4 linked regions of the Notamacropus eugenii genome follow. The protein of the gene in region 4 interacts with the protein of the main gene of each other region in a pairwise test. Links are inferred from orthologs where the notes say so. Each region holds a gene or a part of one and is shown on either strand. Other genes may lie near its edges. The genes, in order: TNPO2, PDZD4, NUDT18 and APIP.

The links.
Region 1: the proteins of APIP (region 4) and TNPO2 interact in binary tests that used the Homo sapiens proteins (3 or more experiments, as listed by UniProt). The two-hybrid records come from large-scale screens. The link is inferred for Notamacropus eugenii from reciprocal best matches to the Homo sapiens genes APIP and TNPO2.
Region 2: the proteins of APIP (region 4) and PDZD4 interact in a two-hybrid assay, tested with the Homo sapiens proteins (2 studies listed by BioGRID and IntAct). The two-hybrid records come from large-scale screens. The link is inferred for Notamacropus eugenii from reciprocal best matches to the Homo sapiens genes APIP and PDZD4.
Region 3: the proteins of APIP (region 4) and NUDT18 interact in binary tests that used the Homo sapiens proteins (3 or more experiments, as listed by UniProt). The two-hybrid records come from large-scale screens. The link is inferred for Notamacropus eugenii from reciprocal best matches to the Homo sapiens genes APIP and NUDT18.

The regions. Positions count from the first base shown.
Region 1 is NC_092875.1:78,211,833-78,219,666, forward strand, and holds the start of TNPO2 (transportin-2), read left to right. Parts: upstream 1-4,831; 5' UTR 4,832-5,116; intron 5,117-5,663; 5' UTR 5,664-5,677; coding exon 5,678-5,776; intron 5,777-6,757; coding exon 6,758-6,833; intron 6,834-7,510; coding exon 7,511-7,660; intron 7,661-7,796; coding exon 7,797-7,834. Other genes in the region: RING finger protein 11-like, read right to left, coding at 570-741, 1,357-1,526, 2,628-2,789. UniProt on the Homo sapiens protein: Probably functions in nuclear protein import as nuclear transport receptor. Serves as receptor for nuclear localization signals (NLS) in cargo substrates.
Region 2 is NC_092879.1:22,693,513-22,701,360, forward strand, and holds the start of PDZD4 (PDZ domain-containing protein 4), read right to left. Parts: upstream 3,004-7,848; 5' UTR 2,907-3,003; coding exon 2,847-2,906; intron 1-2,846.
Region 3 is NC_092872.1:612,589,991-612,597,336, forward strand, and holds the start of NUDT18 (8-oxo-dGDP phosphatase NUDT18), read left to right. Parts: upstream 1-4,331; 5' UTR 4,332-4,536; coding exon of another isoform or gene 4,537-4,584; 5' UTR 4,585-4,972; coding exon 4,973-5,134; intron 5,135-5,140; exon of another isoform or gene 5,141-5,530; intron 5,531-5,536; exon of another isoform or gene 5,537-6,019; intron 6,020-6,883; exon of another isoform or gene 6,884-6,936; intron 6,937-7,346. Other genes in the region: uncharacterized protein, read right to left, coding at 3,626-4,331, 4,537-4,584. UniProt on the Homo sapiens protein: Mediates the hydrolysis of oxidized nucleoside diphosphate derivatives. Hydrolyzes 8-oxo-7,8-dihydroguanine (8-oxo-Gua)-containing deoxyribo- and ribonucleoside diphosphates to the monophosphates. Hydrolyzes 8-oxo-dGDP and 8-oxo-GDP with the same efficiencies.
Region 4 is NC_092877.1:16,507,401-16,514,437, reverse strand, and holds the start of APIP (methylthioribulose-1-phosphate dehydratase), read right to left. Parts: upstream 3,011-7,037; 5' UTR 2,384-3,010; coding exon 2,156-2,383; intron 1-2,155. Other genes in the region: PDHX (pyruvate dehydrogenase protein X component, mitochondrial), read left to right, coding at 3,974-4,121. UniProt on the Homo sapiens protein: Catalyzes the dehydration of methylthioribulose-1-phosphate (MTRu-1-P) into 2,3-diketo-5-methylthiopentyl-1-phosphate (DK-MTP-1-P).

The sequences.
Region 1 (7,834 bases), on a different chromosome or scaffold from region 4:
GGCAGGTTAAAAGGAGGATCCAAAATATCAGGCTTATTAGTAAAAGTTGCCTAGTTTTCATTGTCCCACCAGCAAAGGCCCAAGCAGAGGGGACCAATGTAATTTGTTCCTCCTGCACTCTTACCACCCCGAACCTCACTGGGCTTTAGCCACAGTGAATATTTGATTCCTGGAATTAGGATTTGAAATGCTTCCTCTCCCATCACCTGTAGGGGAAGCTTCAGATACTGGGCTCCAGGACTCAGCATTATGGGACTGAGAAAAATATTAGCTTTCAGGATCATCTTTAAAAACTCAGCAGTAAAAACAGTCCATAGTGGGGTGGGGGAGGAGACTAGTTACTTGATTTGAAAAAGAGACTTTGAGCTAGGGACACTGAAGTGTCAGCTTGGTCTGTCTCAGGGCAGGATATCCATGGAACAACCTCCTCCAGTGCGTGCCAGCCTAGCTTCAGCATTCTTTGGCATGTTCCCCAAATGTGAAAAATGTCTAGCTCCAGTGGTTGCTGCTTTTCCCCTGGGGCTCACCTGAGTAGGCCCGGGGGACATGTTGGCTGCCAGGCTCCAAATTCAGCTTGTCTCATAGGAGGAAAGCAGGGCTGCATCCACTGGCTCCATGCAAGAGGGACATGTGAGAGAGCGCATGAGCCAGTCATCAATGCAGTGGACGTGGTAGGTGTGCAGGCATGGCAAGAAGCGTATGGCATCCCCATACACAAAGTCCAACATGCAGATCACACACCTGCAGGGACCAGGGATGGATGAATGTATAGCACTGGTTCTCACCCTCCACCCCTCCACCCCCACCCCCAATTCCCCTCCACTCCCAGGCCATTCCAGCCCAGCATCTCAGCTCCGATTGCCACTGAGGCCTCCCTCCGTGTACCCAGCCTTGAACTACACTGTTGATTGAGGAGACATTAGGGCCTGCCTTCAAGTATCTCAGCCTGGGAGAGACAAGGAATGGCAGACTTTGGCCTTGCTCTCAGGGATCTGTCTAGAGAAAACAGAAAAGTATCTGATCCTGGCCCTGCCCTTTAGTTCATAGTTTGGGAGAGACCCAAAACCTTGCCCTTTAAGAGCTGCCAGAACTGGGGTGATGTGGGGAGTGGGGTGGACATGGACAGTGAGCTCCAAAAACAACCCTATTGGGGTTGAGCTCAAGGATCCAGTCAAGAACACAATGGGTGTGTCTTAGGAGCCTGAGTGTTTCCCCAGACTTCCCTCCTAAAAAGAAAAAGATTGAGAGGCCTCAGTGAGGGGTCTCAGATTTCTGCTCCCTGAAGGCTGCATGTCTACAGCAACATTCCCTTCAGGAAGGAGCCTGGGGCATCCTCATCCTGTTTCCCACCCTTACTCTTTCATTTTCTTTTCGGACCCCTCAGAGCCGGGGTCGAAGATGCCCTTGGGTAGGTGCTGGATGAGGCCAATTCTCTGGGCGATGCGGATCTGCTCCTCCTCTGTGAGCTGTGTGGCCAGTCGGCTCTGGCTTGGAGATGGGTGGTACACTGGGATTGGCTCCCGTGCCTGGGGGGGATGGGGACAGGATGTACATGGCAACTTGTCTCTGGGGAACTCATCTTTCAAACTGCCTGTGTCTAGTCCCCTATCAGGGCCTCAGGTTGTCTAGCTCGAAGTCTGCTTTAAGGGGATCTATGAGCTTTGTACCCTCTGAACCTCCTCTGCCATTCCCTAGGGATCCTAAATACAATATCAAGTGCACCACACTATGAATGGGACTAATTCCTCCATGCACATAGCCCTACCTCAGTCCATCACTGTCTCTACATCTCATCATACAATCTAGCACTGGAGAGGCCTGAGAGACTATTTAATCCGACCCTTTCATTTTCTAGAGAAGAAAATACAGGGGAAGGGACTTAGCCAAGTTCACATGGCTAGTAACTGATGTAGGTTTTCTTTTCTGAATCCTATGCCGTTTCCACTGCCTAATGATCTTATTCAGTAGGAGGACTTCTGTGTTTCTTTGGTTTTGGGATTCCTAGAGTCAGTCCTCCTGCCCCCAGTCCTGACCTGCCCTGGTTTGGCAAACTCCAGGGTTCCCCCTCTGCCAACCCAGTTCTATTCCATTTCTCTCTGCTCTACCATGTCTTATAGGGTGAAAAGAGTAGATTCCAAAGATTTCCTCCCTCTCCAACTAAGCCTGACCCTCAGGGTCGTTGAATTTGACAGTCCACAGTCTGGCCTGACCCTTGAAGGTGTAGGTGGTATTGGTTACCCAGGGTTTTTCTCTTTCACCACTCTTGGGGATGGTGGGTGATGGTGGGTGAGATGCCTCAGGTCCCTTATGCCTGACTTTGCTGGTGGCTGGAATTGGGTGGCTGGTGGTGGATTCTCAAGGTCCCCTGTTCCCAGTCCTGCTCTGTCTCTGGGGCAGTAGGTGGGTAGTGGCAGATGCGAGAGTTGCCCTGGTTAAGGCTGTGCCTAGGCTTTCTGGCCGTCCTCGCAGATACTCCCCAGCCCTGGCTGCCTCTCTGGGGCACTAGCGGGGTTGGGGGTGGCAGATGCCCAGGGTCCTCCTGTGCCCAGCCCTCCCCTGCCTCTCTGGGGATCAGGGAGTGGCAGATGCCCCGGCTCCCAGCCCGGCCCGGCCGGCGCGGTGCTCACCCTGCTGGGAGGCGGGGGCGGTGGCGGCGGCGGCGGCGGATCCCCGGGAAAGCTGCTCCCGTCTCTGGAGTCGTTAAGCAGCGACAGGTCGTCTGCGGCTCCGGCCCCCGCCTCGTCCCCAGCTCCGGTGCCGGACCGCTGCGACGACAGACAGTTCCCCATGCCCGGCCCGGCCCGCTCAGCGGCGGCCGAGGCCCCTACTTCCAGGCTTCCAGACTCCGAAGTCCGTTCCAGCTTGGGAGACCCCGGACAGGCCGAGCCTCGCCATCCCCTCTCCACTGCCCAGGCTCTTGGCCCAACTTGGACTCACCGCTGTTTACAGCCCCAGCCGGAAGTGCGGCAGCTCGAGGCGCAGAGGGTCGTGGGAGTTGTAGTTGCGGGTGAGCTCGGGGACGGAGCGTGAAATTGATCGAGGAGCAGGGTTAGTCGTGCGCATGTGCACGCGCAGGTGAGGTTCCTCCATTTGCTTCCGTGAGGGCGGAGGGAGAAGATCGGGAACATGTGTTCTTGCTTCTGGTTTGCGCTGAGTCCCCAAAGCTCCGTAGACCAAGCACACCTAAGGTGACTTCAGAAGTGACCAGGGAACATGTTTGAACTGCATCCTGTCTTCCATTGTAATTATTCATGGATCTTATCTCCCTTGGGGGTTTGTGACCTCCCAGTCTGGGACTGATCTCATTCTTTCACCCTTGTCGCCTCCTGCCAGGGGCGATGAGATTTGATGCCCTAGTTTTGAGAAATATTTGCAGAAAGAATGAAGACTAAGGCCTTGAGCCCTGGATAGGATAAAAGAGGAAAAATATCTTCTGTCTTCCCTCCCTCATCCTTATGGCAGTCCTTTCATTGCAGCAAGCAGGAGCTTTCATCCCTTGTCCTACCCTATTGCCCCCTTCAGAATCCTTCTGTAAACCCAGGAGGATTCCAGGGAAGTGCAGAGCCTTCCTTGGGCCTAAACTGCAAAGACTGGGCACACCGGGAAGTTCAAAGGATCGTGACTTAGAACCCCCTTTATTTTAGAGATAAGGAAACAGACAAGGAAGGAGATCTTTATCTAAAGTTACACAGTAGAGCAACGATTAAATTTCAGAATCTTTGACCTCAAATTGCTCTTTTCTCTGTACTCTCTTCTAACTGTAGGATGAGGGCCATAATCCTAATTTATACTGTGGATTGTTTCTTTTAATTCAAGTACACACACACACCCCTCTCCCGGAGTCTAATCACCCTAATTTCCTTCTCCACTCTGGCTGGCCTCCTCAGTTACAATGGCCAGCTCACTCTCCCTGAGGCCTTTCTGTTCATTGTGCCCATCTTACTTTCCTCCTTTTCTATTTCCTAAGCATTGGAATGTTTCAAAATATGTGATGGATGGCAGCGATGGGGGGAGGGAGAGAAGACGAATAAATTAGATCTCCACCCCAGGGTGAGGACACAGAACAAACAAAATGCCAACGACCTTCTCATACACCTGCCTGGCCTGAGTTTTAGGAAGCTGGCAGCTGAAACAGTGAGGGGAGGGATGCAAGAAGGGAGAAAGGACAAGAATCAGGGAGGTTTGGGGGAAGGTAAGGGGTAGAAGTAGGTAAGGCTGTGTGTATATGAAGCCTGGAATCACAGAACTCTGAGTTGGAAGGGATCTTCAGTCATTTCCTCCATTTGATCTAGAAGGAAACAAGCCGAGTCAGGGAATTTGGAAGGCCAGTCTAGAACAGGAGCGAATACAGCATCCAGAGTGTCCCAGCTCCTAGACCTGTATTATCCACAGGGTCATAGACCGAGCACTGGAAGTGATCCGGTTCAACCCCCCTCATTTTTCATTCACATTAGGGACCTGAGACCCTGACAGGTTTATTGATTGGTCCAAAGTCATAAAGCAGGTGGCAGCAGAGCTGGACCTCGGGAAGAGGGGGAGAAATGGAGCATGGAGAACGGGTGGCCCTGAATAGGAAACGAGCCCGGCGCTTTCTCTTGAGGATGATGACGGGGGGCTCCTGCACTCCTCACAGGACCCAGGGGCGCCTCAGGTGCCAGGCCCCAGGGCAGGTGCCAGCGGAGAGCAGTAAACGAGAGACTGGAGGACCGAAGGCCAGAGAGACGCAAGAAGTAGCGGTCTCCCCCGTCACGTGACAATCCCTCCTCTGGTTCCGCTTGGTCGCGACCGCCGGTCACGTGACCTCACTCGAGGCCGTGCTCCGCCTCTCCTTCTTTTCCCACCAGCGCTCGCCGCCCTTCGCCTCCCTTCCTCCTCTCCAGTCACTGGGACCGTCCATCGTCTTGATTGGCTGGGGGGAGACAGTTTGAACGGCGGACGGAAGCCGCTGCGGCTCAGGCCAAGTCGCGTTCTTTTTTTTTTTATTCGCTTCCTCGCTCCTCCCCGTGTGTGTCTCGGGAGAAGCCGCAGAACGAGGAGTCGCCGCCGCCGCCGCCGCCGCCGCCGCCGCCGCATCTGCCGCCGTCGTCGCCGCTGTCCCGGTCACCGTCGGGTCCTGGTGAGTGGCTCGGCCTGAGCCCTGATCGGGGCTGTCGGCCGCGGCCTGTGGGGGGGGAGCAGGCGCGCCGGGGCCGGGGCTGGGCCTGGGGGAGCGGCCAGGCCTGTTCGAGGGCCCGGGGCCGGAGAGAGCGGGACAAGGAGCGAGGGGGTGGCTGGGCGCGGCGGCAGCGGGCCGGCCCGATGGGGCCGAGGAGGGCCGAGGCCTCAGCCCGGCGTGCACCCACCTCCCGGCATCTCCCCTCCCCCCACGCCTTGTCGCCTTGGCCCCGGCCCGGCCCCGGAGGGGCCCCGGCCCTCCCTTTCCTCCCCGGAGCCGGCGCTTCGGGGGCCCCCAGCTGCGAACAAGGTGTGGGGGGGTTAATCACCTCAGGCTTTCGGGTGTTCTGTTGCTCCCCCATCTTCCCACGTGGCCCAGGGGGCTTTTCTGCCTCCTCATCCCTCCCTCCCCCGGGGGGTGGGGGGCAGCCCTGATGTCCACTTGGGTGACCAGGAACTGCCCAGAAGAATCTAATCTGCCTTCTTTTCCCTTCCGGACCGCAATTTAGACCATCCCCCCACCATGGACTGGCAGCCAGATGAACAGGGCCTTCAGCAGGTCCTCCAGCTCCTCAAGGACTCCCAGTCCCCCAACACGGCCACTCAGCGAGTTGTCCAGGACGTATCCTTTGGCTGGCTGACCCCTCTATTGTCTTAAAAGACAGAGAGAATGGAGGGACCTAGGACTGTGCATCCTTCCCTTCTCCCAGGCACCGGGGGCCAGGGCTGGCTTAGGTTGTCTGGGCCCTTGGACAGTTACATCCCATTGTGTGGATATATTGTATTCTTTCCCCTAAGTCATCCTTAAGCATTAAAGAGTACCTACCGTTCTGTGCTGTGCCCAGCCAGCACTCTGTCTGACATGGGAGGGGGTAGGTGAGAGAAGAGCCCATAATACAACAGAAAAACTGCTAGAATTTTAGTCAGAGATCCTTTCTACAACTTCTAGTCACTTCTCACTGAGTCTTGGTTTCCTCCTCTTGAAATCAAAAAGCTGCACTTACATGATATCTAACTCTACCTCCTCTGATCTTGGAGGGAGAGACCATGAGATCATAGCTCTAGAATTGAAAAGAAACTTAGTGGTGATCAAGTCTAACTCTCTACTTTTACAAATGAGGAAACTGAGGCTCAGAGAGGGCATATGACTTGGACAAGGTCACAAATTTTAGTCTGAGCTGTTATTTGAACCTAAGATCTCAAGTTTTATATTTTATCCTCTCTACCAGACTGCCTCTTTAAGAGCTCTGGAGGTGCCAGGGATTGAATATGTGCTCTACCACTGAGCTAAATCCTCTCTAGATATTCCTGCGGAAATTCTCATCTACAGGGAAGAAAGGTACAGAGTAGAATCCAGGGCAGTTAGGAAATATTCAATCTCCCCATTGATTGGGGGCCAATAAAGCTTGTCTGGGGGTTGTCCATATAGTAGGATGATGACCATTAAGGATGGATGGGTTTTTTTAAACAAACATAGTAGGTATTAGGAAGTAGTGAGTGTCTCAGGGGTCTGATTTTTATCTTTTTTGATATCTAACTCCTCACCTGTGTTATCTAGAAGGGTCGGTACTGAATTGGCTTAGTCCTTAATGTTGCCCTACAGAAACTAAAGCAGCTAAACCAATTTCCTGACTTTAACAACTACTTGATTTTTGTCCTGACGAGATTGAAGTCAGAAGGTAAGTCTGGATTGGCTTTGGACTGATTCCTTCTGCCCCTCTTGCTTTCCTGTCTCTGGCCTAAGGGTTAAGGGGTCTCATGGCCCCATCTACTTGAGATCAGCAAGTCCAAATCAGTAGACATTTATCAGGCACCTGTTGTGGTTAAATCATTTCACTGAGGATACAGTGATGAAAAATGGAACAATTCCTATACTTGAGGCATATCAGTGTAATAGAAGTCATACATAAACAAGTAGGATATGAAATAGAATGTGATATAGAGACAATGAAATCCAGGGAGGTGGGGGAGTTCCTGCAGAAATGGAATCAGGGAAGGCTTCATGAGAAGATGGAGATGAACAAGCCAAGCAGAGGCATAGGGGATAGCCTTTGAATATGAAGGTACAAGGGATCAGCACACCTTGTTCTGCTTATAGTACAGTGTGACTGGAATGCAGAACATTTGGATGTGAGAGGGCCATAATATGAAATGTACCTGCAAAGGTAGATTGGAGCCCTTTCTCCCTTACCAGTGCAGCAAACTGACAGGTATGTTGTGCCAACTGGATCTCTTTGGTTTTTCAGTGTAACCTTGGATCCTGCCATTCCTCAGGGCCTGGGTGATAATTCTGGCTCACAGGAATTGAGCCCCTTAGAATTTCTGATCCAGTATTTTCCTCAATCCCTTTCCCCAGATGAACCAACACGCTCCCTCAGTGGCCTCATTCTGAAGAACAATGTGAAGGCACATTACCAGAGCTTTCCCCCACCAGTGGCTGACTTTATAAAGCAAGAGTGTCTCAACAATATTGGTGATGCCTCCTCACTCATCCGAGCCACTATTGGTAAGGTGGGGGTGAGTGGGGGGAGCTATACTGGGTGAGGATGCTGTCTCCTCCATTTCCCTCCACCTCTGTCCTTGCATGCCCTACCTCAAGGCAGGCATAGCTTCATGGAATTTCCTTCTTCCCTTCCCACTAGGTATCCTTATCACTACCATTGCTTCCAAGGGAGAGCTC
Region 2 (7,848 bases), on a different chromosome or scaffold from region 4:
ACGAATATTATCTCATCTGAGCTTCACAACAACCCTCAGAAGTAAGTACTGCAAGCATAATTTTCCCCATTTTGCAGATGGGGAAACCAAGGCTGAGAGAGGCTAGTATGTGACAAAGCCTGGACTCTATAATGTGACTCAGCCATGAACCCTTGTTTAGTTCAAAGTCTCTAAACCTTAAATTCTGATTCTTCCTCCCAACCCAAGGAATTTTTTACCCAAATATTTATTGAATGTTCAAAGCAGAGGGGTGTTATGATCCTGCAAAATATTCACACTAACCATCTTTAGTTAAGAGAATTCCTTCTCCTTTCCCCTTCATTGTCCTAATTAATAATAAACATGGAATCTATGTCCCTTGCCCCACCTCAAGATCTCTCTCTCTCTCTCTCTCTCTTTCTCTCTCTCTCTCTCTCTCTCTCTCTCTCTCTCTCTCTCTCTCTCTCTCTCTCTCTCACACACACACACACACACACACACACACACACACACACACACACACACACACACTCCTCTGGTCTTTGTCCTATAAAGGAATCATTCCCTCCAGTGTCTTTCCTATCACTATCAGTGAAGATTCAGTGAGAAAGGAATTGGTTTCCATTTGGAATGATTCTAGACATTGAAACAGGAAGGCTGGTGTTCATTACACCACCACCAAGCTATCACTACAACACCCCACCACCCCACCTCCTTCCAGTATGCCCTGAGAACAACACTGATTCTGAAGAATAGCCTGTGTATTTCCAGGTTGTGAATTTCCTGCATCGCTCTCACAATGGTGTCAAATCTCAGCCACAAAGGCAAGATTTGGAGTGGGTGAGACCAAGAGAAAGAGAGATAGCATGATAGCAGGAAGAAAGTAGGAAAGGGGAGGGGCAGTCAGACAGAAATTGAACAAGAGAAATTAGAAATAGATCAAGAGAAACAGGTAGAAAGAGTACAAGAAGACAAAAGAAACGGAAAGAAAAGGAAAATGAACACATTCCTACAAGGCAACATTTACCTGTTCATTTTTTATTCTCTTCAGGTCAAAGGAATTCGGTTCCAAACATCAATTTTGGATCTATCCATTAGGCTTAGTTCCACCCTACTAAACCCCAGGTCTATGTACCATACTTCCTTCACAGTGGTATCTTTTCTGTTTTTTAAAACAGATTTCATGATGTTGTTTCCCCCACCCTTTTCAGCAGAGAAATCTCTCTTTTCTCTCTCTCTGTATAGCAAATCTCCCCATGCCTCAGGCCACATCTAGTCTTTCACATTCCCCACCCTCTTCCATCTAAACCCTAACAGACGGGACATGGGTAGTTAAAGAACTCAAAGCTGGTTAAGAAAGCATCTTTCTCTCATCTTCTGCCTTTGAGTCTGCTCTGACCCCAGACTCTATTTAAGCCACTACCCAACTATGACCTCTGTCAATATTGGGAACATTACCCTAGGGAGTTTGGATTGGCCATGGGTGACTAATTTTTTAGAAACAAATTACACCCCAACACAGAAAGCATACATACATTAGTATGTCTACGTGCCCACACAGTATGTACCATATGGACACATATGCATATATGTAAAGAATATAAACACACGTATACCATAATACATTGATCATATATATACATGAATGTACAGTATATGTAAAAGGTACCTGTGTTAAGTATTATGAAATGTCTAAATTCATACACTGCATATACAGTGTATAAACAGATACACATGCCCGGCTTTAATATATTATATATGTATATATATATACATATACACACTAAACATATCATATACAAGTACAGACACATAAGCACACCTTTCTGCACACCAACAGGATATACAGGCTATTAGAGACACATTCTTGTCAGTATCTTCCCTCTCTAGTTTAAGCTTGCAAGCTGATTGGACAGAGATGGTGCTTTTCTCTTTTTCTCTGTTCTGTATTATGGCCGATACCCGAATCATGCTCATTGAATACTATAAGCACAAATGTACTTGATCCATAACATGTACATTAACAGCTCCTGTTCCTCAATCTCTACGTGTGGGGACTGAAATCTTGGGAGAAATGTGGCAAACACAAACAATTGTGCTCTTGTACTTTGCCGCTCTCGGCTAGACACTTAAGAACCCTGGGCATTCGAGGAAGCGGAGGTGGCTTATCATTATGTGCTCTTGGGCGTGTGTATACTCAGCATTCTATTTCCTCGGAAATACCTGCAGACCATTAAGGCTGATAAAACCATCTAGCCTAGCCCCAGAGGGAAACTTGCTCTTTGTGGGTTGGAGCGAAGAGGAGTCGGTGTGTCCTTGTCATCCTGGCTAGCCTGTGTCTTTATTTATTACTTATTCTCATTTCTTCTTTCTCCCCTCTAGGTAAGAGTGCCTTCCCCACACGTTGGGTGACACATTGTGTGTGTGTGTGTGTGTGTGTGTGTGTGTGTGTGTGTGTGTGTGTGTGTGTGTGTGTGTGTGAAGGTGTGGGGGGGGTTGCTGGGAAATGAACTCGTTGCTATGCAACCATCCCCATCCTGCCCTGGCTTCCCATTTTCAGTTGGACCTCTTACTCCGTGCTCCCCAATCCTAAAGTGAATGTTCTTTAGCAAGGGCCCATTAATCCATGCCCATATCGGACAATCCACGCGCCCCGCGTGGTTTTGTTTCAAGGCTCCCGCACAGATGCCCAAAATGATGCCCCCTTCTTCCACTTAGACGGTGGCATCCCACCCCACAACTTCTGCGGGATTTCTGATAAACTGCACTAGAATTCTAGGCCTTCACCCCTCCCGAACCCCGACTGGGCCCAGTTTGACTCCCCCTCCTCATCTCCCCGGGAGCTCCCCCCGGCCCAGACCCCTTACCTGCAGCATCACTTTGTACTGCTCCTCTGGCTTCTGGACCACACACATGTTACATCCCATGGTGCCAGCCGGGGGATGGGGTGGGGAGGGAGGTTGGGGGGCGGCTGGCGGCTGGCGGCGGGCAGGCGACTCCGGGGCTCACTGGTCCAGCCGCAGGGCTGGTGGGGAGCCGGGGGCTCCCGGGCCGCCGGGCGGGGGGGCCATGGCGCGGCTCGGGGGCGGGGCCGCGCTCAGCGGGGGAGGGGGGCGCGCCCCTGGCCCCTCCTCCCAGGCGTGCTGCGCGGGCCGCAGCCCAGCCAGGGGGGCATGCTCCCCTGGCCCTCGTGGAGGGGCCGAGCGCGAGGAGAGGGGCTCGAGGCCCAAGGGAGGGAGGACGAGAGGGCAGGCGGGCGGGCCGAAACGAGTGTTGCCTAGCAACGGCCGCCCCCTCCCTGCCTGAGCAGACGGACCCAAGGGCGGGTTGGCAGGGGCCCTCCCAAGAGGGCTCCTGCCCGCGTCCGCCGGCACCGCCTTGACCCGGCTCGGCCCGGTCCGGCTGGTCCCGCCACGCAGCAGGAGGCGGCGGCGAAGGCAACGTCTCCGACAGCCCAGCGCCTCGCCTGCGCTCCGGCCGCCCCGTCTCCCCCGCCCTCTCTCCTCCTCTCTCCCTGACTGTAGGGCGCTCGCCAGCCGAGGGGGAGGGGGAGCAGCGCGCAGGCGCACTCCGAGTCCGGGAGGGGAGGGGGAGATGGTGGGGTGGAGAAAGACACCTGGAGCCCCTTTCGACCTGGGGTGGGGGTGGGGGGTGGGCTGCTCTCTGCTTCCCGCCTGGCTTGTAACCCTACTGGCGCTCACGCCCTGCCCTCGCCCTTTCTGTAGCACCCCCGACGGCGTGAAGGGGTGGAGGGTAGTGTCTCAGTGCACCCACCCCGCCTGTGCAAGGCGGACCTGGGGGAGAGGGCACCACCTCCTGAGATCGATCCCTCGTGCTTCCCCCGCCCCCTGCTCCCCAATCTCCTTTACTGTCTTCGATGAAAGGAGTCTGGAAACTAGGGGAGTCGAGGGGCCACTAGGAACCCTGTTTCTGGTCTGGCTTTGGGTCCCCCACCGTTCCCAGCTATAATCTCTCTGTCTCAGCTTCTCCCCGTCGACATCTCTCCTCTCTCTTGCCTGCCTTTCTTCTTCTACATAACTGCTCCTTCCCTCAGCATCCCTGATTCATTGCCTTGGCTGATGGGTTGTCATTTTTTTTCTTCTCTAAGAACTTGCGTCTATGCGCTCCCCACCCCCACCCCCAGCCGGGGGAGGTAGGTAGACAGGGCAAGGATAGTCATCTGTCCCATTTTTGTTTGGACCAGCCCTGTGATGTCCTTTGGAGAAAAAGCTCCCTCGAACCAGTGCAACTCCAGCCTTACGGAGTTGCCTTTACGGGTGAGAAATGGGAAGTTCTTAAAACGAGAAGTGACTTAGGCAGCCGTGGTCACTCCAAGAACAGTGCGTTGCACTAGATCAGTCACTTCATTGAACCCTGGAATGGCATATCAGGCCTTCAAAAGGTTCGAACGAAAGCTTTGGAGTCAATCCGCCCCCCACCCCACCCCCCAAGGTACCTCAACTCCCTTTCCATGAGGGAATCCTAAGGGAATCAGTCCAGACTAAGCCATCTGAAAAGTACGCTTCTAGAGCAGAAACTGGGAGATGGCCAATAGAGACTACAAAAGCTGAGTTATGTAACTCTAGGAGTCAGGAGGCCTGAGTTCTAACTTTGGCTTAAACTAATGTTACCTTGAGCAAGGCATTTAACCTCACTGAACCTCAGTTTCCACCTTTGTAAAATCGACAATATGGCCTCTGAAGGAGGTCCTTTCCAGCTCTAAATCCAGCTCTAAATCCCTAAGAGTCAGTTTATTCCCTTCGCTGGGACTGTTTTCTTTTCGGTATAATGAGAGGGTTGTGCCTCCTTACAGAAAGGATGCAGCCCATAGAAAGAGACATTTTGGACATGACCACCTCCTGGATTTGTTACAGGAATCTTTCTTTGGTTTTAATGTGAGGGAGAGTCAAGGTTAGCAATTCCACCTAAAAGAGGGCCATTGAAACATTTTTTTAAAACAAAAAATAAAAGGAAAAAACACAGACAAGTTCTGAAAGTAACACATGAAGTTAGTATATGGTGTTTTGCTTTTAAAGCAAGTGGTATGAAATGGAGACTCAGTTTCATATACAAGCTTCTTTTTCTGCTCTGCTGTGTATATGGAAATATTTGGAGGGGGAGTTGGGGTGTTTAAGTTCAGAATAAAAAAATAAAATTCATGAAAGAAGTAAAATGAGAAGGTTGGAGTAGTTAGACTCCAAGGTCTTATCCACCTCATCACTCACCGAAAATTTCTCTCTTCAAAGAGATCTTTTCATTGTCAGATCCCATGGCCTTTTTACTAAACTGCTTGTCTTTTTTTGAGTCCTCTGTAGTATTTAATGATGTTGACTACCCTCTATTCCTGGATACTCTCTCTTTTGGAAGTTTTCATGATACTTTTCTCTCTTGGTTCTTCTACCTGACTGTTTCCTATCTATTTGCTGGATCACAATCCGTATCCCACTCCTTAATTGTGGGTGTACTTGTGTCCTGGGCCTTCCCCTCTCTTTTGAAGACTTCATCAGCTCCTCTACCATCTCTGTATAGATAATTGCAAGTCCTAAATACATCCAACCCTAATCTCTCTCTTAAACTCCATTTTCGCGTTACCAATCACCTTTTGTACATTTCAAACTCAGTGTTCTGTAGACATCTCAAACTCAACATATCCCCCCCAAAACCTCAATTTCTTTTCCCTCCCCCCAAAAATCCACTTATGCACCACCATCAATGCCATTTTTCAGGTTCACAGCCTCAGTCATCCTTAACTCTTCACTCTCACCCAGCCCACTGTCCAGTCCATTGCCACGTCTTGCCAAGTCTACCTCCACATTTCCCTTTTCTCCATTTACACAGCCATCACTCTAATTCAAGCCCTCATCGCTTGTTGCCTGGACTATTGTAAGAGTCTCCTTATTGTTCTCCTTATTTCCAGTTCCTTTTTTTCTCCAATCCATCCTCCATAGAGCTGCCTAAGTGATTTTCCTAAAGTACAGATCAGATCTGCATCATCCTCTTGCTCCATAAATTCCACTAGTTTCCTGCTGCCCATTGGATCAAACAAAATCCTCTGTTTGGTGATTAAAGCCCTTTAGATCTGGCCCCAAACCCACCATTCCAGGCTTATTACACATTACGCCTATTTACGCACTCCCCTCGGTGAACTGGGCTTCTTCACACACAGCATTCATTCTATCTTCTGTCTTCAGGCTTCACGACTTTTCTCCCATGTCACCTCCTGCTTGAGACCTTTTCTGTTTTCCCCAGCTTCTTGTGTTTCCCTTCAAAAAATTCCTTTGCATTTATTCTGTAGAGTAGGATATTTGTATATGTTTTGCATTTATTTCTATGTGTACATGGGATCTTCCCAATAGAATCTAAGTTCCTTGAGGGCAGGGACTATTTCATTTTCATCTGCACATAGTAGATAGCTATGATAGCTTGATGTCTTGGCTTGACTTCTCTCCCCAGCACTGAGCATAGCATCTGGCCCACAGCAGCAACTTAAGTGTTTGTTGATTTATCAAGTGCCAAGAGTAGCACAGGATAAGAAAAGGTAAGTGAGTCTATACTGTTGGAGGAAGTACTGGCCCACCCCTACCCCCAAGCAAAGGAAACCAAGATCCCTTGAAGGATGGAAATGGAGTATACTTGTGGTCTGCCTTGTGTGTCTGAGAGTGATGGAAGGGCAAGAGGCATGGACCTGCAGCTCATGCTCCTGGGAGACAAGGGCAATGGAAGAAGAGGATCAGGGGTACTTGTTCTTAGGTTCTTAAGCCAAGGGGTAGAGAAAGGTCTGAAAACCTAGAGGAAACCAGAGTGCCCTGGAAGAATCTGAATGGGATGCGACCTCCTGGGGAGCTGAGGTCCTTAGGAACCACAAACGAAAGCTGTTCCTGTCCCCACCCCCTCATGCTCCACCTCAGAACAGAGGGGCCTTTTGGGAACTTCCCTCAAAGCCACTCTCCATCTTGGGCTGATTTCTGGGTTTCTATCCTGGGGGCCAGGTAGTCATTGTGGGGGCAGGTGGGGGTAGGGAATTGGAAGGTTTGTGTCTTAGACTAAAGGAGAAGAGATATATGATGCAAGGGGATGTTCTGCAGAGTTTCAGTACCTTTGGGTAGGGAATGAGTGATCTGTCTTCTTAAACAATTACTAAATGTCCACCTATTTCTTCCCTCCAAGCTCTAAGGTTAGGTTGAGACCTGCCCCTAGGCTCACTGCACAGAGTCCTGGATGAGGCACAGCCCAGGTGGGAGTCCAGGGCAGGAGGGGCAAACATCAAAGATGGGAAAAAAGGAGGCCTTGAGGGGAAAGCAGATGAGGATGGGCTGATGGTGGGGGTTACGGAAGGGATATGGAGATTATAGATATGATAGAAGAGGGGACCTAAGGGGCCAGGGGAGGGGGAAGTAGGCTCCCAGCTGCTTGGAAATTCTGAGCAGGTGCCCTCCCAGGCTCTGTGGCGCCTCAGCAGAAGCCCTGTTCCCCTCATCAGTCTCAGAAAGTGGGATTAGCTGGAGCTGGGAAAAAAGAAAGAAAGAAGAAATCAAAAGCTCCAGCTGCTTGAAGCTGACAGCCCAGGGCTTTCAGGCCTTCAAACTTACAAGTGGGGATAGCAAAAACCAAGAAGGAGGGGGGCTAGCAGCAAGCCTAGAGTCAATGAGGGTGGTAGGATCAGGGCCAATCTGGAGCTTCTGCTGTAACCAAAGGATGGACAGCAGAGCAGAGGCCAATTGACCAGAGGCCACAGCAAGAGGTAACATGAAGAAAGTAAGCTAAGCCATGTCACCGTGTCCTGGCATGCCAGGAAAGGAGGTTTGAGGGAGTTCTCCAGTGACTCCAAAGTCCAGCTGTCTCTCTCTCTCTGTCTCTTTGTGTCTCTCT
Region 3 (7,346 bases), on a different chromosome or scaffold from region 4:
TGCCCCAGGACTCCCTGTTCTTGGCTAATGGGTTGACCCTGGGAGCCTTGAAAGAATCTGAATGGAGAATAGGTGGTGAGCTCTATGGTGGGCAATCCCTTATTAATTAATGAATCCATCACAGAACACCTACTGTGTGCCCAAGCCTATAGCCTCAGTAAGAATAGAAGAGGGTCTCTGTTGTGAGCGTGCTCCAAAATGCAAGTGCAGACAGGGAGAGTCTGGGCAAAGAGCCAAGGGAAGAAAGACAAGTGTGAACATGGGAATCCTTACAGGCAGAAGCAGCCTTTGGCGGTCACTGGACCAGGTAAGATGGATCAGATGCTTGAGGGTAAGGGGTGGGGAACACAGAAAGAGAACGGGAAGAATGTGGTGGGCATAGACTTTGTCCTGGGCACTGAGTGGACCCATAAAAAAATCCCAAAAGAATTCCCCCCAAAATGTGGACGCAGATGAGGAAGACTAGGAACTAGGACCACAGCTCTGAGCATTTACCCTAGGGGGCTCTTTGGGTACCCTCCCCTTCTTCTTCACTTAGCCATCATTTAATTCAACTCAATTCAATGAAACAAAGATTTATAACCTCTTCATCCTTCAAGTCTCAGCTCTGGAAAGTCAGATATCTATTTTATCTTTCTTTACAATGCTCTACTTAACAACAGATTAAATTTTTTTTCAATGAATGAATGAATGAGCAAACAAATGGTGAGTGAATGGGTAAGTATGGCAAAGAATTGATGAGTCATGAATAAATGATTAAATAGATGAGTGAACAAGTGAATGAGGAAATGTGCTAATGAGTAAATAAATGAGGGAAAAAGAGCTGTCCTCAATGAGTTTTTATCACCGGTCCAGAAGAACTACTCCCAGAGTAAAATAACTTGTAATGTGAGTGCTTAGCTATGGTTGATCATCTCTGAAAAATTTTGTAGAATGGGAAAGGTGCTGTAGAGTGGATACAAAGCTGGTTGAATGACTGTACTTTGCTTGCACTGATGTCTGAAGTTTAATGGCCACAGACAGGGATGTCCTAGCATTTAACAAACACTTCTTTGGAGAAGAAAAAGCACATTGGATACACTTTTGGTTTTAATCTGAATTATTAACATTTTCTCCATAACTTTCTTAAATCTGGACAATCTACAAAATGAGAAGTCAAGTCCTGGTTTGTAGCATTTTCCTAGTCAGTATGAACTGTCTCCACTGACTACAGGGATTTGTCATATCCACAACTCAACTCAATAAACATTTATTATAAATTATAAATAAAACATTTGTTAAGCCTCTACTTTGTGCTAAGTACAAAGACAAAAATGAAACAGACTCTGACCTTAATGAACTTATGTTTTATTGTGGGGAAAGAACATATATATGTGTGTATGTGTATGTATACACACATGCACACATGTATATACACATACATATATGCACACATATATGTATATATACAGATAAGCAAATGTGAAAAATATACAGTAAGCACAATCAGTGAGTCAATAATTATTTAATAATAGTTAGCATTTGTACATAGCACTTTAGGGTTGGCAAAGTGCTTTACAATTGTTATCTTACTTGATCCTCACAACAACCCTGGAAGGTTGGTGCTATTTTCATTTCTATTTTACAGATGAGGAAACTGAGGCAGTGAGAGGTTAAATTACTTGCTGGCTCACACACTTGGATTTGAACTCAGGTCTTCCTGACTCCAGACTCAGTGCTCTATCTATTGTGCCACTTAGCTGGTCAGAAAGGTGGCCAGCACTGTACTAAGTGCTGGAGATTAAAAAAAAGAGAGACAAGAAAAAAGAGACAAGCCCTTCCCTCAAGGGCCTAATTCTAATGGGATTAATGTAATTAATGGGATTAATCTAATGGGATTTTAATGGGAGAGAGTAGATGTAAATAACTAGGTACATACGAGAGAGAGAGAGAGAGAGAGAGAGAGAGAGAGAGAGAGAGAGAGAGAGAGAGAGAGAGAGAGAAAGTAATCTGACGGGGGGGGGGGGGGGGGGGGGGGAGCGAGGGGGAAGGGCCATTGAGAAAGTGGAATTTGAGTTGAAGAGCATTCCAGGCATGGGGGCAGCCAGTGCAAAGGCACAGAGGTGGGAGATGAATGTCTTATTCAAGGAAATAACTTCAAAGAGGCCATTGTTTCTGGATCATGAGGGGGAGTAGGGTATAAGAAGACTGGAAAGTTAGCAATGGGCCAAGTTGTAAGAGGCTTTCAATACCATAGGATTTTATATTTGATTCTGGAGGTAATAGGGAGGCATTGCAGCTTTCTGATCAAGGGGGTGACATGGCCCCCTGTATTTCATGAAAATAATTTGGCAGTGATTGAAGGATGGATTGGATTGGAAAGAGACCTGAGGCAGGGAAACCACTACCAGGAGACTGGTGATGAGGGCCTGGATGGCTGCATGAGTAGAAAGAAGGGGATGTGCTGGACAGATATTGAGAAGTGAGAAATGACAAGACATGGCAATGGACTGGATATATAGGGTGAGGGAAAGTGAGGAAGGGGAGATATGCTGAGATTTGAGAGCCTGGGTGACTGGAAGAATGGTGGTGAGTCTCTCCCCCACTCCCACACCTAAGACTGAAGGAATAGTGAATTTATTAAGCCCTTACTATGTACAAAGCTCTATGCTAAGTGCATAGGGAAGTCTGGAAGAAGAGGATTTGGGGAAAAGAAAATGAATTCTATTTTGGAAAGGTTGAGTTTGAGATGCCTAGAGGCATCACAAAAACCTGGGGAGGTAGGTGCACTTATGATCCCCATATCACAGATGACAGAGAAGTTTAATGACTTGATGTAGGTATTTGTGGAGGGGGTGGTTAGAGATTTGGAGAGCAGAAAACAGAATAAAGTTGAACTGGTTTTACTCTAATGTGAACACTGGGAAAGAAGGTAAATAGGGCCACAGTACTGGCTGAGGAAATGGGAGAACTGGCATTGCAGACTCAGGTGAGGAAGAGCACTTTAAGAGGGGTGAAGCTTGGGGAAGGGTGGAGAGGTTTGGGTCAGACAGGGGAATTTGGGGATTCTGGTATAACCAACATTCATGGATGATGATGCCATTGACGGATGCCCAGACTTTGGCCCTGTGCTGTTTTCAGATTTTTATCAATGACTTGGATGAAGGTATAACTGGTTTGCTTATCAGATCTGTAGATGACATAAAGATGGAAGGGAGAGTGGTTGGGTGACAAGAACCAGGAGCCTATTCAGGGCATTTGGACCGGAGCTATGGTTTCACTGATACAGTAACCCTAATATGAGGAAACTCCCTATGTCAAAGAAAGTCAACGCTTTGGCTTATTATAGTCCCAGCTGCCAAGGGCGCCTAGAGGTGAAATGACTGGTCCTGGTTCCCCTAGCCGATGTGTCGGAAGGCTAATAGCAGTCATGAGAATGAGCATTCATACTGCAATTCAAGGTCTGCAAGGTCCTTCACAAACATTACACCACTGGATCTTCACAGTCCGGAGAGGTCTGTGCTACGTTACCTCCATTTTACAGATGAGGAAACTGAGGCAGGCAGTTCAGTGACTTGCCCGGGGCCACTCCGGTATCGCAATAACCCTTCCAAGTTCGCCAGGTGCTTTATAAATGCCATCTCACCTGGCGCTGGGAGGTGGGCGCTCTTCCCCTCACGTCCCGAGGACGGAGCAGGTGGGACTTTAAGGCTGGTCTCCTGACCCCGGGCCGGCGCTCTGGCTACCGCACCGGGAGAGCGCGGGAGCCAGACTCTGGACCAGCCGAACGGACCAGGTAACGACCGTCCGCCCCTCCCAGCCCGCGGCCCGCGGGATGCTCTCCGCGGTGACGCGGCCCGGCAGAGCCCCAGGCTGCCCGGCACGTCCAGGGCTGCACGGACGCGCGTAAAGCCACTCGCAGGATCAGACACGCAGAGGCGCGGGGGGGGTGGCGGGGTCAGGCGCCTGTTCGTGAGAAGGCTCGCGGCCCCCGGGGGCGCGCGTGGGCAGACCAGCGCTAGCCCCGAGCTCGGAGGCCAGGGGCACCCCGCGGCCGCGACTTGGGGGTAGACAAAGACAAGCGTTCGGTTCGCAAGCGTCCAAATTCCAAGGACTACCGGGCGCGGTGGGGGCGGGGAAGGAATCGGAGCTGCGGGCTCGAGCCGGCTCCCAGCGTCCGAAGGGCCGACCTGGGGAAAGGCACTGACCCAGTTCTGAGGGGCGCCAGGCGATGCAGGGGGCAGCTTTAGGGGTGCCCGAGGGAGGAGGGCGGCAGTGGCTGCGTCGGACTGGGGTGCAGGGGGGAGGGCGAAGTAGACAGCGGGGGTGCGGTAGGCAAAGGTCAGGGGGAGCTGTCACCGCTTTTTTGTGACGTCACTCCGAAGCCGTCCTAGGCCTCACCCACCCGCCTCTGTGGGTGACGTCATCTGCTATCCGCAGGGGGCGGTGACGTCATCACGCCGCCGGAGGGAGAAGCGAAGGGGGCAGCGCAAGCAGGGAAAGCGGAAGTCTGAGCGGTCACTCCTCAGACTCGGCTCCTTTAAGAACAGTCTCCACCTCCGGAAGGCCAATGGCCAATGGAGGGGCCGGGACGGCTAACGTCATAACAGCGGGGGTGGGGAGGGCACGCCTGGGTCTCCCGGGAGAGGTGGGGCCGGAGGAGGGAACCCGAGCAGGCCCTGATTTCCCCTCCCCCTCTAACTCCCCCCACTCGTCCGACTGGGCCTGAGCCTTCCCGAGGGCCGATTCTGGCCTTGACCCTGACCTTGACCTTGCCCTCTCTGCGCCCTTAGCCCCTAGCTCCAGTCTGTCCCGTGTGTCCCCCGGGATCCGTTTCCTTTGAACCCAAATTTTCCATCTTGGTTCCTGGGGCTCCACCTGAGTCCAGAGTCCCTGCTCCACCCCAACCACACCCCCCCACGTGATCCAGTCTGGGTCTCAGCCTCTCCCCTGCATCCCTCCCCACCCCCACCCTCCACCCCCGCCCTTGCCAATGGCATCCTCAGGCCTGGCAGGGGACCTGAGGGCCGTGCTGGGGGGCCAGGGGCTGCCGGTGCTGGACTATGACTCTGTACCGCTAAAGGTCTCACCTGTGCCCGTGCAGCTCAGGAAGAATGTCTCCTATATCGTGCTGGCTGTCTTCTTCAACGACCAGGTGAGAGGCAGCCAGGACCCTGACTCCAAAGTCTTTGGGACCCCAGACACCCCAAGATAGAGGACCCCAGAGCCCGGGCCCATGTAACCCATGGGCTTAGGAAGGAGAGACGAGGAGAGGCCCCCCTCATTGGCGAGGTGCTGACCCCGTTTTCATTCAGCATTGTATTACGTGCCCTGCAGGAGTGACACCCAAAGAAGTCTAACATTCACCCCAAACATTGACTGAGTGTCTGCTGGGCACAGCGCACCGCGCTGGCTGCCACAGGGTGCAAGCACGGAGAATTCTAGTCACCATTTATTGATTAAACACTCGCTCACCGTAAGCTAAGGAGACCGAGAGGAGAAACAAGATACCATCCCTACCCTCAGGGAGCTCACCTGTCGGCACTTGCAGGTGGGAGTGTGATAAACGTATAGGAAAGATGCAGACCAAACGTTTAGAGAAAGCTCCATGACTGGCTCCATGAGCCGGGTCTTGAATAAAGAGGGAAACCTTAGCAGTTGTCCAGCTGTTCAGGAAGGATTTAGTAAGCACCCACTATGTGCCACATGTTGGGGTTACAGAGATAAAAAGATAAAACTGTCCCTGCCCTCAGGGGTTTGTATTCTACTCGGGGGAAATAAATGCTTATTGAATAGATATAGGGGGAGGAGAGTGAGAACAGGCATTTATTAAACATCTACTGTGTACCACATGCTGAGGTTATCCAAAGATAAAAGGACAAAACACATCCTGCCTTCAAGGGGCTTATATTTTATTGGGGTAAATAAATGTTTATTGAACTGACATGGGGAGATTAGAACAGGTATTTTTTAAACCACTGCTGTGTGCCAAGCACTTTACAAATATCGTCTTGTTTGATCCCCACAACAACCCTGGGAGGTAAGTACCACCATTGTCCTCATGTTACTGTTGAGGAAACTTCGGTAGATAGAGGTTAAGTGACTCGACTAGGGTCGCACATAGTAAATACCAGAGGTCAAATTTGAACTCAGATCTTCCTGACTGCAGACCTAGTGATCTATTACCACTTAGCTGCCTCAAGGGGAGGAGGAATAACTAAAGATTACTGAGGTTTACGGTCTTTTGTGACTGGGAGGGTGTTAGTATTATTAACAGAAATACAGAAATCAAGAAGGGCAGGTTTTGGAGGTAGGATGATGAGTTCAGTTTAGGACACACTGACTTTGAAGTCCTGACAGGACATCTTGATATGGGAGGTACCCACAGGCAATTGGAAGCCTTGGATTGGCATGCATGGGAGGATCAAATCTAGAGATAAAGATTTGGGAGTCATCTGCCTTGGGGTGAAAATGGGAGCCATGAAAGTTGATGAAATCATCAAGGGAAACTTTATAGAAAGACAGGCAGATCCTGAGAGAAACAGAGAGTGGAAAGGGGAGGGGGGGAGAGGCAGATCCTGAAAGATACAGAGAAACAGGAGAGGAGAGAGGGGCAGATACTAAGAGAGGGAAAGAGAGAGAGGCAGAGTTGAGAAAGGAAGAGAAAGAGACAGTGATGGGGGTGGGACAGAGAGAGAGAGAGAGAGGGAGGGAGGGAAGGAGAAAGAGAGAGAGAGGGAGAGAGAGAGAGAGAGACAGAGACAGAGAGAGAGAGACAGAGAGAGAGAGGCAGATACTAAGAGATAGATATTGAGACAGAAGAGTCAGTTACTGGGAGATGGGAGAGATACTGAGGAAAAAGAGAAGTGAGGAACCTCCTCCCTCCACCCACCCTGTTTTTCAGGAGCTGGAAGAGGAGCCACCAGAGAGAGAGATTAAAAAGTGAATGGTCAAAAGGCAAGTTTAGAAGTGCATAACTATTCTTTCTAAAGAGGAAAGAAGAATAGTTTGAGGGCATAGCTGATTTAGAAGGGTGTTTGTTTGTTTTTAAGTTAGGAGAAACCTGGATATGTTTGTAAGTAAAGGAAAGGCGTCACTAAAGAGGAAGAGACCAAAGATGGGAGAATATACATTTGATGCAGGTCCTGAAGAAGGAGGGAGGAGATGGGCCCAGGTGGCCAGAAAGGGAGGTCACCTCTTCCTCAGAGACCAGAGGAAAGGAACTGGGCCTGGGTCTGGGTATTACCACAGACTTTGAGGTGTGGAAGAGGGAAATTGAGGGAAGTTTCAGGCAGATGACCACCTAAGATTGGGGCCAACTACTGACAGTGAGTGGGATAGATTAGAATTGGGGGGTTTGAGGAGAA
Region 4 (7,037 bases):
ATGCTAATAAATAATTTTGCTTTCTGTTTGGCCTCCAGTCTTTGGCCCACAGTCATCAGACGCCAGCTAACCAGCGTGCCTTTTCAAAGAGTTCTCAGTTTTTTAACTGAGAGAACTCCCAAACACAAACAAGCATTTGCTTGAAATCAACGTTCTCTAAATATCCCTATTTTCAGGTGACACTAAACTAATTTCATCAAGCCCCTAGGATGCTGTTTCTTCAGGGAAAGACTAACCATCCACATTAGGAAAACAAAACAAAAACCCATATGCTAAACAAATTAAAACATGTAGTTGTGCATTAGGGTGTACACTCAAGACACTTTTAAATAGGTAAAATATTTACTGAATATCCAATCATAATAGGCATTATTCATCAAACAGAAACATCCTGGAAAATAAACAATTAAACTTTGCACAGGACCCTTTTCTTTATTCTAGGATTCACTTCATCATCACAATCCTTTCCACCCGCTCAGCTCATCATCACAGATATCAGTATTGTTACTTACACCAGTAAGTATCCTCAGCAGCCCTGCGCAGAAGAGTGGGACAAAACCAACAAAGCCTCCACTGAAAGGGGGTGCCTTGGTCCAGACAACTCTTCCTTTCCCACAAACTACAACCCTTGGATCTAAATCCACCATCCACATGGCCCAGCACCTGGGGTGTCCCCCCCCACTACAGTTTCCTTTTGTGATGTCTTCCCTCAATGGATTGTAAGCTCCTTGGGGGCAGGGACTATCTTTATTTGTGTCACCAAATGTTTAGTAAACATTTATTGTTTTGTAACTTCTTGGCTAAGACGGGTAACCAGAGGTGCTTCCTTTTAAGAGGTGAGCTTTTTACCTCTATTTCCTTTCATGGCCCCAAATAAGGAGAAAGAGACCCAGAAGAGAGAGGGGGAAGAAATGCCTAGCTGATGCTTTCCTGAGGCTGCTGCAGTCACAGATGATCAATGTCCTACCCCAGGCTCTGCAGTAGAAGCATTCCTGCAGCAGATAAGGCATAGGAGGAGATCCTTTGCAATCCCAGAGAGACTTTAGCCCAGGGGATGAGTGAGTCCCCTGAAGAACCTCCCTCTCCCATCAGATCTCTTTGTAAGTACTAGTGGTCATGGGAGGAGGGGGTGAGGCTTGGAATGGGAAAAGGTCAGCAAGTGCTTTGGCCCTTGGGAGTGACCAGGCTTTCCTCCCCGCCCCCACTAGACAGGGAAAAGGCTCAACAGGTCAAAGTTCTGACTGGTCTCTTCTGTGGTCACTCCTCCTCTTCTTCTCAGTTACACTCCCTTTTGGGGTTAAAATCTGAAGGAAATGGTGTACAATTGGGGCTCTCCCTCTCTTCTCATAGCCTCATCTCTCACTTAAAACTGCTCTCCCCAATGTTAGCAGTGATCTCACATGGGCCAAATTCAGGGGGCTTTTCTCACTCCTCATCCTCCTTGACCTCGTTCTCCACTGCTCCTCCAGTCTCTCTGGCTGGATCTCCATGCAGGGCATTCTGGGTGCCTCTTCTCTGGTCTCTATACTCTCTCATTAGGGGAGCTCATAAGCTCCATACAGATCATTCCCAAATTCTCCAGGCCTAGTCTCTCCAGTTCTCCTCCAGCTTTGAAAATGCCTCCAGGACATTTCAAACCGGCTGTCCTACAGGCACCTCAAATTCAACATGCCCAAGACAGAACCCATTACCTTTCCCCCTCAAACTCTTCCCGTTGTCTGTAACTTCTCTGTTACTGTCCAAAGCACCACCATCCTCCCATTTTTTCAACACCTTGGTGTCATCTTCAACTCCTCTCTCCTATCCACCTCACCTATCTAATCATTTGTCAAATCTTTTAACTTCTCCCTACAAAAAGTGTAGGTCTTATCATGTAGTCCGTCACTCAAGAAACCTTAATGGCTCCCTATTGTCTCCAGAATCATAAAGTTCTTTGTTTGGCATTTAAAGTTCTTCATAACCTGGCCCCTTCTCAACCTTTGCAATTTTCTTCCATTCCAAAGACCAATCAGCTGGTCATTCAAAACGCGTTGATTAAGCACCCATTATTCCATCTCTACTTGTGCACTCCTGCCCAAACCTCTAATTGGGGTAGAACACCTGCTCTGGCCCCTGAACCCCACTCTTAAATCAGTACTGTATGCTGGCCTCTCACCATTACCATCCATTCCTCTCCAAAGGCCACCTGGGTGACATCATTCTCCAGGTCGGCCCTGGTACACCTACAGTTGAACCCACTGGAGAAAGCAGGTTTGCCTCGAGCATTCCCCGGCCTTGACGAACTGGCCTGCTTGCTGCTTGTCAACAATCCATCCCTGGTCTCTCTGGCATTCCGTACAAGCTGTTTCTCCTCATTCCCATCTCTGACACTTCCTTGTTTCATTCAATCAAAGTTCACTTTCAGCGCCCCCTCCTAGGGGAAGCCTGTCCTGACTGTCAGAGCTGCCGGTGGTCTTCCCCCTTAAGTCACCGCATGCGTGCTGATCCTACCAAGCAGAGAACAAGCTCCCCGAAAGCAGGACCTGCTTCATGTTTTGTCCTCAGGTGCCCTGCCTAGCACGTGGTAAAAGCTGCTTAATGCTGAATGGCTCAGTGGATGGAGTGCCAGGCCTGGAGCCAGGAAGCCCTGAACTCGAACCTGGCCTCAGCCGCTGACTGACTGCGTGACCCTGGGCAAGTCACTTTATCTGCCTGCCTTCATGCAACGGAGAAGCGACTGGTGACACACTCTGGTGTCTTTGCCACTGACGGGGCTGGCACGCTGTGGTCCAGGGCCACGGATGGCAGAGACCGTATCGTGTGCTCCTTCTCTCTCCCCCATCGGGGGCACGGACCACCCTCCTCTCACGGGATTCACGGGAACTCAAGAACCCACACGGGTGCCCGCCACGTGCCAGGCACTGGAGAGACCGAGACCCAAACAGTAACTCCGGACCCTCGACCGCAGCGCCCGCCGTGGGGAGCGCCTGCTGTACTAGCCCGTGAGCTGCCAAGACGGAGAGGGAGCGGGCATCCACGGGGCACGGGGAGCGGGTCCGAGGCCCCGCGGGGCACGGGGGGGGGGGGGGGCGGGTCCGAGGCCCCGCGGGGCACGGGGGGGGGCGGGTCCGAGGCCCCGCGGGGCACGGGGGGGGGGGGCGGGTCCGAGGCCCCGCGGGGCACGGGGGGGGGGGGCGGGTCCGAGGCCCCGCGGGGCACGGGGAGGGGGGCGGGTCCGAGGCCCCGCCGTGCACGGGGGGGGGGCGGGTCCGAGGCCCCGCGGGGCATGGGGGGGGCGGGTCCGAGGCCCCGCCGGGCACGGGGGGGGGGGGGCGGGTCCGAGGCCCCGCGGGGCATGGGGTGGGTGCCGCAGAGGCGGTCACCACGGGAGCCCAGCGCCGGAGGGGAGCAGAGGCCTCCACAGCCTTCTCTCTCCGGGTCCCCACTTTAGAATCCACGCGGACCACCGCGCCTGGACTCCCACGGAGGTCACCCAGCGGTGTGGGAGGAAGCTGGGGATCGCGAAGGAACGCTAAGAGAAACAGCGGGCACTAGGGGCGGGAGGAAGGCAGTGAGCATGCGCAGACTCCGCCTCCACAGCGGCCTCCGCACGGCCCCTCCCCGGTCCGGTCCCGCCCGGGGGCCGTGCGCCTCCGTTTCCTCCTCCTCTTCCTCCTCTTGCCCCTGGCCCATTATTATAATAATGACCATGCTCGACCGCTTCCTCTCCTACCTCCACTAGGCCGCCGTGATAGCAGCAGCGGCCCTCCGGAGCTCGGCACGTGCTCATGGCTCACCCGGGCCACACCGCGGGACCTCCTTCCAGAGCCTTTCCCGATAGCTCTGCTTTTTCACTCAGGCAGGGCGGCGGTCAGCTTGGGGGTGGGGTCATGGGCGGGGCGCCGCGGAGCGCAGACCAATCAGGACTGAGCGTGGCGCTGAAGAAGGACGACTCTGAGGACCCCGGAGGACGCTCGCCCGCCCGCCGGCAAAGATGGCGGCCTCCTTGAGGCTGGGCTGCGGCCGCGGGGCGCTACGCTACCTCCTGGGCTCCGCGAGCGGCCGGCGAGCCAAGGCGGTCGTGACGTGGCTCGGCCGCGACGGCCCACGCCGGGGGCTCCATGGCTCAGCGTGGCTGCGGGGTGAGTGCAGCGGAGGAGGGGGCGGATCATCCCGGTCCCCGGGCTGGGCCCCCGCGGGAGCCGGAGCGCCCGGCCGGACCAGGCGGAACAGGCCGCGGCCTCCGGGGGCTGAGTGCGAGGGCGGGCCTCCCCTCTTTATTCTGGGGGCGGAGCGGACTCGAGGGCCGCGGCCTAGCGGCCTGGAGCCGGAGGCGACCGTAGAGGTCACTGAGCCCAGGCCCCGCCTCCTCCGGCTTGTGATTCTGTTACCAACTACCCCCCCTCCTGCAGCGCCGCCGGACTCGGGGTCCGGAAGTCCTGAGTTCAAGTAATCTGGGCATGAGACCCTTGGCATGTCACTTCAGAGTCTCTGGGCCTCAGTTTGCAGAACGCGGTCAGGAGGGGCGGCCGGGTGGTGCAGTGGGTAGAGCCCCAGCGGAGGAGTCCGGAGGACCTGGGTGCAAATCTCACCTCAGACACGTGACACTCACTAGCTGTGTGACCTTGGGCAGGTCACTTAACCCCAGCTGCCTCCTCCTGGGCCATCTCCGGTCATCCTGATGGACACTTGGTCCCTGGATGCCCATGGCTCAGGAGGAGGAGTGAGGCTGGTGACCCGCAGCCCTCCCTCCCTCCCAGTCACCTCATCATCTCCGCTGGCCGCCAGGGCCGAGCACCCCCAGGATGCGGTCCGTGTGGGTGCTGGTCCGCCCAGAGCCGGTGGGAGGCCCACGCCAAACCTTCCAGTGTGGTGTCGGTCCAAGTGCCCGCCACGTGCCCGGCTCTGCCACCACCAGCCCGCCGCTGTCATCGTCAGCCCTTCCTGTTGAAGACAAAGGCAGAAGGGCTGCTCCCATCATTCACACTGTTAGTGGCCACCAAACACCCCAGTTTAAGGGGAAAAAACTGTCCTTATTTTAAAAAGGTATACAAATCCGCTTTGGCTGCAGGTCAAGACGTCTGCCTTACTCTGTTCACAGGCTCTTTCTTCCATTAGGAGATAATCACCGGGCTTCGGTGGTATTTGGTGGCACCCCGTAAAAATGCCATCGTCCAGTCAACCATGCATTAAGTTGGAGCCGTGTGCCAGGGTGCTTGGTAGACAAGTGTAAATGGGGAAGGATAGAATGAGAAAAGGCAATGGAAAGGGTGGAGGTGGGGAGAGGACATGCCCAGGAGAGCTCCTGGTGGAGGTAGCTGCGGGGGCCTGCCCTGTGGGAAGGGGGGGTTGAAAGGACAGGGGGAGAGAAGGCTGTGGAAGTGGGTAGCCAGGACCTACCTGAGGCATGGAGGGGGACAGGGCAGAGAAAGGGAAGGATGGTCAGCCTGGGCATTTCCCCAAAACGGTGTAATGGGCAACCTAGAGGGTCAAGGCTGGTTGCTGGAAGTCCTTTTCTCTCTTTGATGGGATACTGAAGATGCTCCTCTTAGGAATCATATAGCTTCTTTGCCCGCTGTCTTGAGGAACCATGAATCTGCATCCTATCTCTCCTTGGCTCCTGATGTAGACATTGCCACAGAATGATGAGGGGTTGGGGATGGAGAGGGAAGATGTTAAGATACCGGTGGGTTGGGGAATGGTTCTCTGAATTGTTCTCATTCAGCTCACTTGAGCCTGCATCAGTCCATACAAGGCTTCCCAGGTTTCATAAAACTATTTCCTTTCATAATTTGACCATTCTCCAGTTAATGAACTCTTTGCTCAATGAACCGTATTGACTCCTAATTACTTGTAGAATCAAATAGCCTCACTGTTGTATACCTGTGAAACATGGACACTCTACCAGAGCCATGCCAAGAAACCGAATCCCTTCCATTTGAACTGTCTTAGGAAGATTCTGAGGATCACCTGGCAGGAGAAGGCGCCAGACACGGAAGTCCTTGCTCAAACTAAACTGCCAAGCATTCAAACTATGCTTCAGAGAGCACAACTCCAATGGGCTGGCCTTGTTCAAATGCAAAATGTGTGCTTGCCCAAAAGACTGTTTTATGGAGAATTCGTATGGGGCAGGCGATCACATGGTGGTCAGAGGTGATACAAGGACACTCTTAAGATCTCTCTCAAGAACTTTAGAATTGATTGTGTGACATGAGAGACACTGGCATAGGACTGTTTAGTGTGGTGTGCCTACATCAGAGAAGGTGCTGTGCTCTACGGAATTGAGACAGTACAAAGGAAATGCAGGATGTGCACATTTGTAGTATCCACCCCAAATGTTCACAGGAACTAGCTGTGCCCAGCCTGTGGTAGAACATTCCAAGCTCATATTGGTCTGATCAGCCACAGTCAGACATGCTGAAACGTGCCTTTAAGTAGTGATGGTTGAAAATGAAGAACAACAAACCAACTATGTAGTACACCTTTTGTTCCAGTCATTTGACATTGCTGCACACACACCCCTACACCTCTCAAAAACCCTAGTTACCTTGTACGTCTTTTGCATTAGATTTTGGTCTCCTCCCCCAAAAGATTTTTGAACCATATTTCAAGGCAATAGGAGGTTAAGTGACTTGCCCAGGGTCATGAAGCTAGTAAGTGTCTGAGGTCAAATTTGAACTCAGATCTTCTGACTCCAAGGATAGTGCTCTATCTACTGTGCCACCTAGCTTGCCCCTCTTTAGTATTTTAAGGTTCGTAAAGCCCTGTCTCAGCAACTCGTTGGAAGCTGCTGGGGCAGTGGACAGAGAGCTGACCTTGAGACTGACAGATCTGAGTTTTGGTGCCCCAAGCATGTCATTTACACTTGGGGCCTCAGGTAACTCTCTTACTGTAAGTTTCAGAGCAAGTACTGATCTGCATTGGTAGAGGAGGCCCTACACCAAGAACACCCTAGATCTAGGACGCATTTCTCTTCTACTTGTTTTGGCATGTTGTTTTCCTGCAGGATGTGTAAGCTCCTTGGGAGCTGGGTGGAGTGGGGCTCTCGTTGCCCCTCT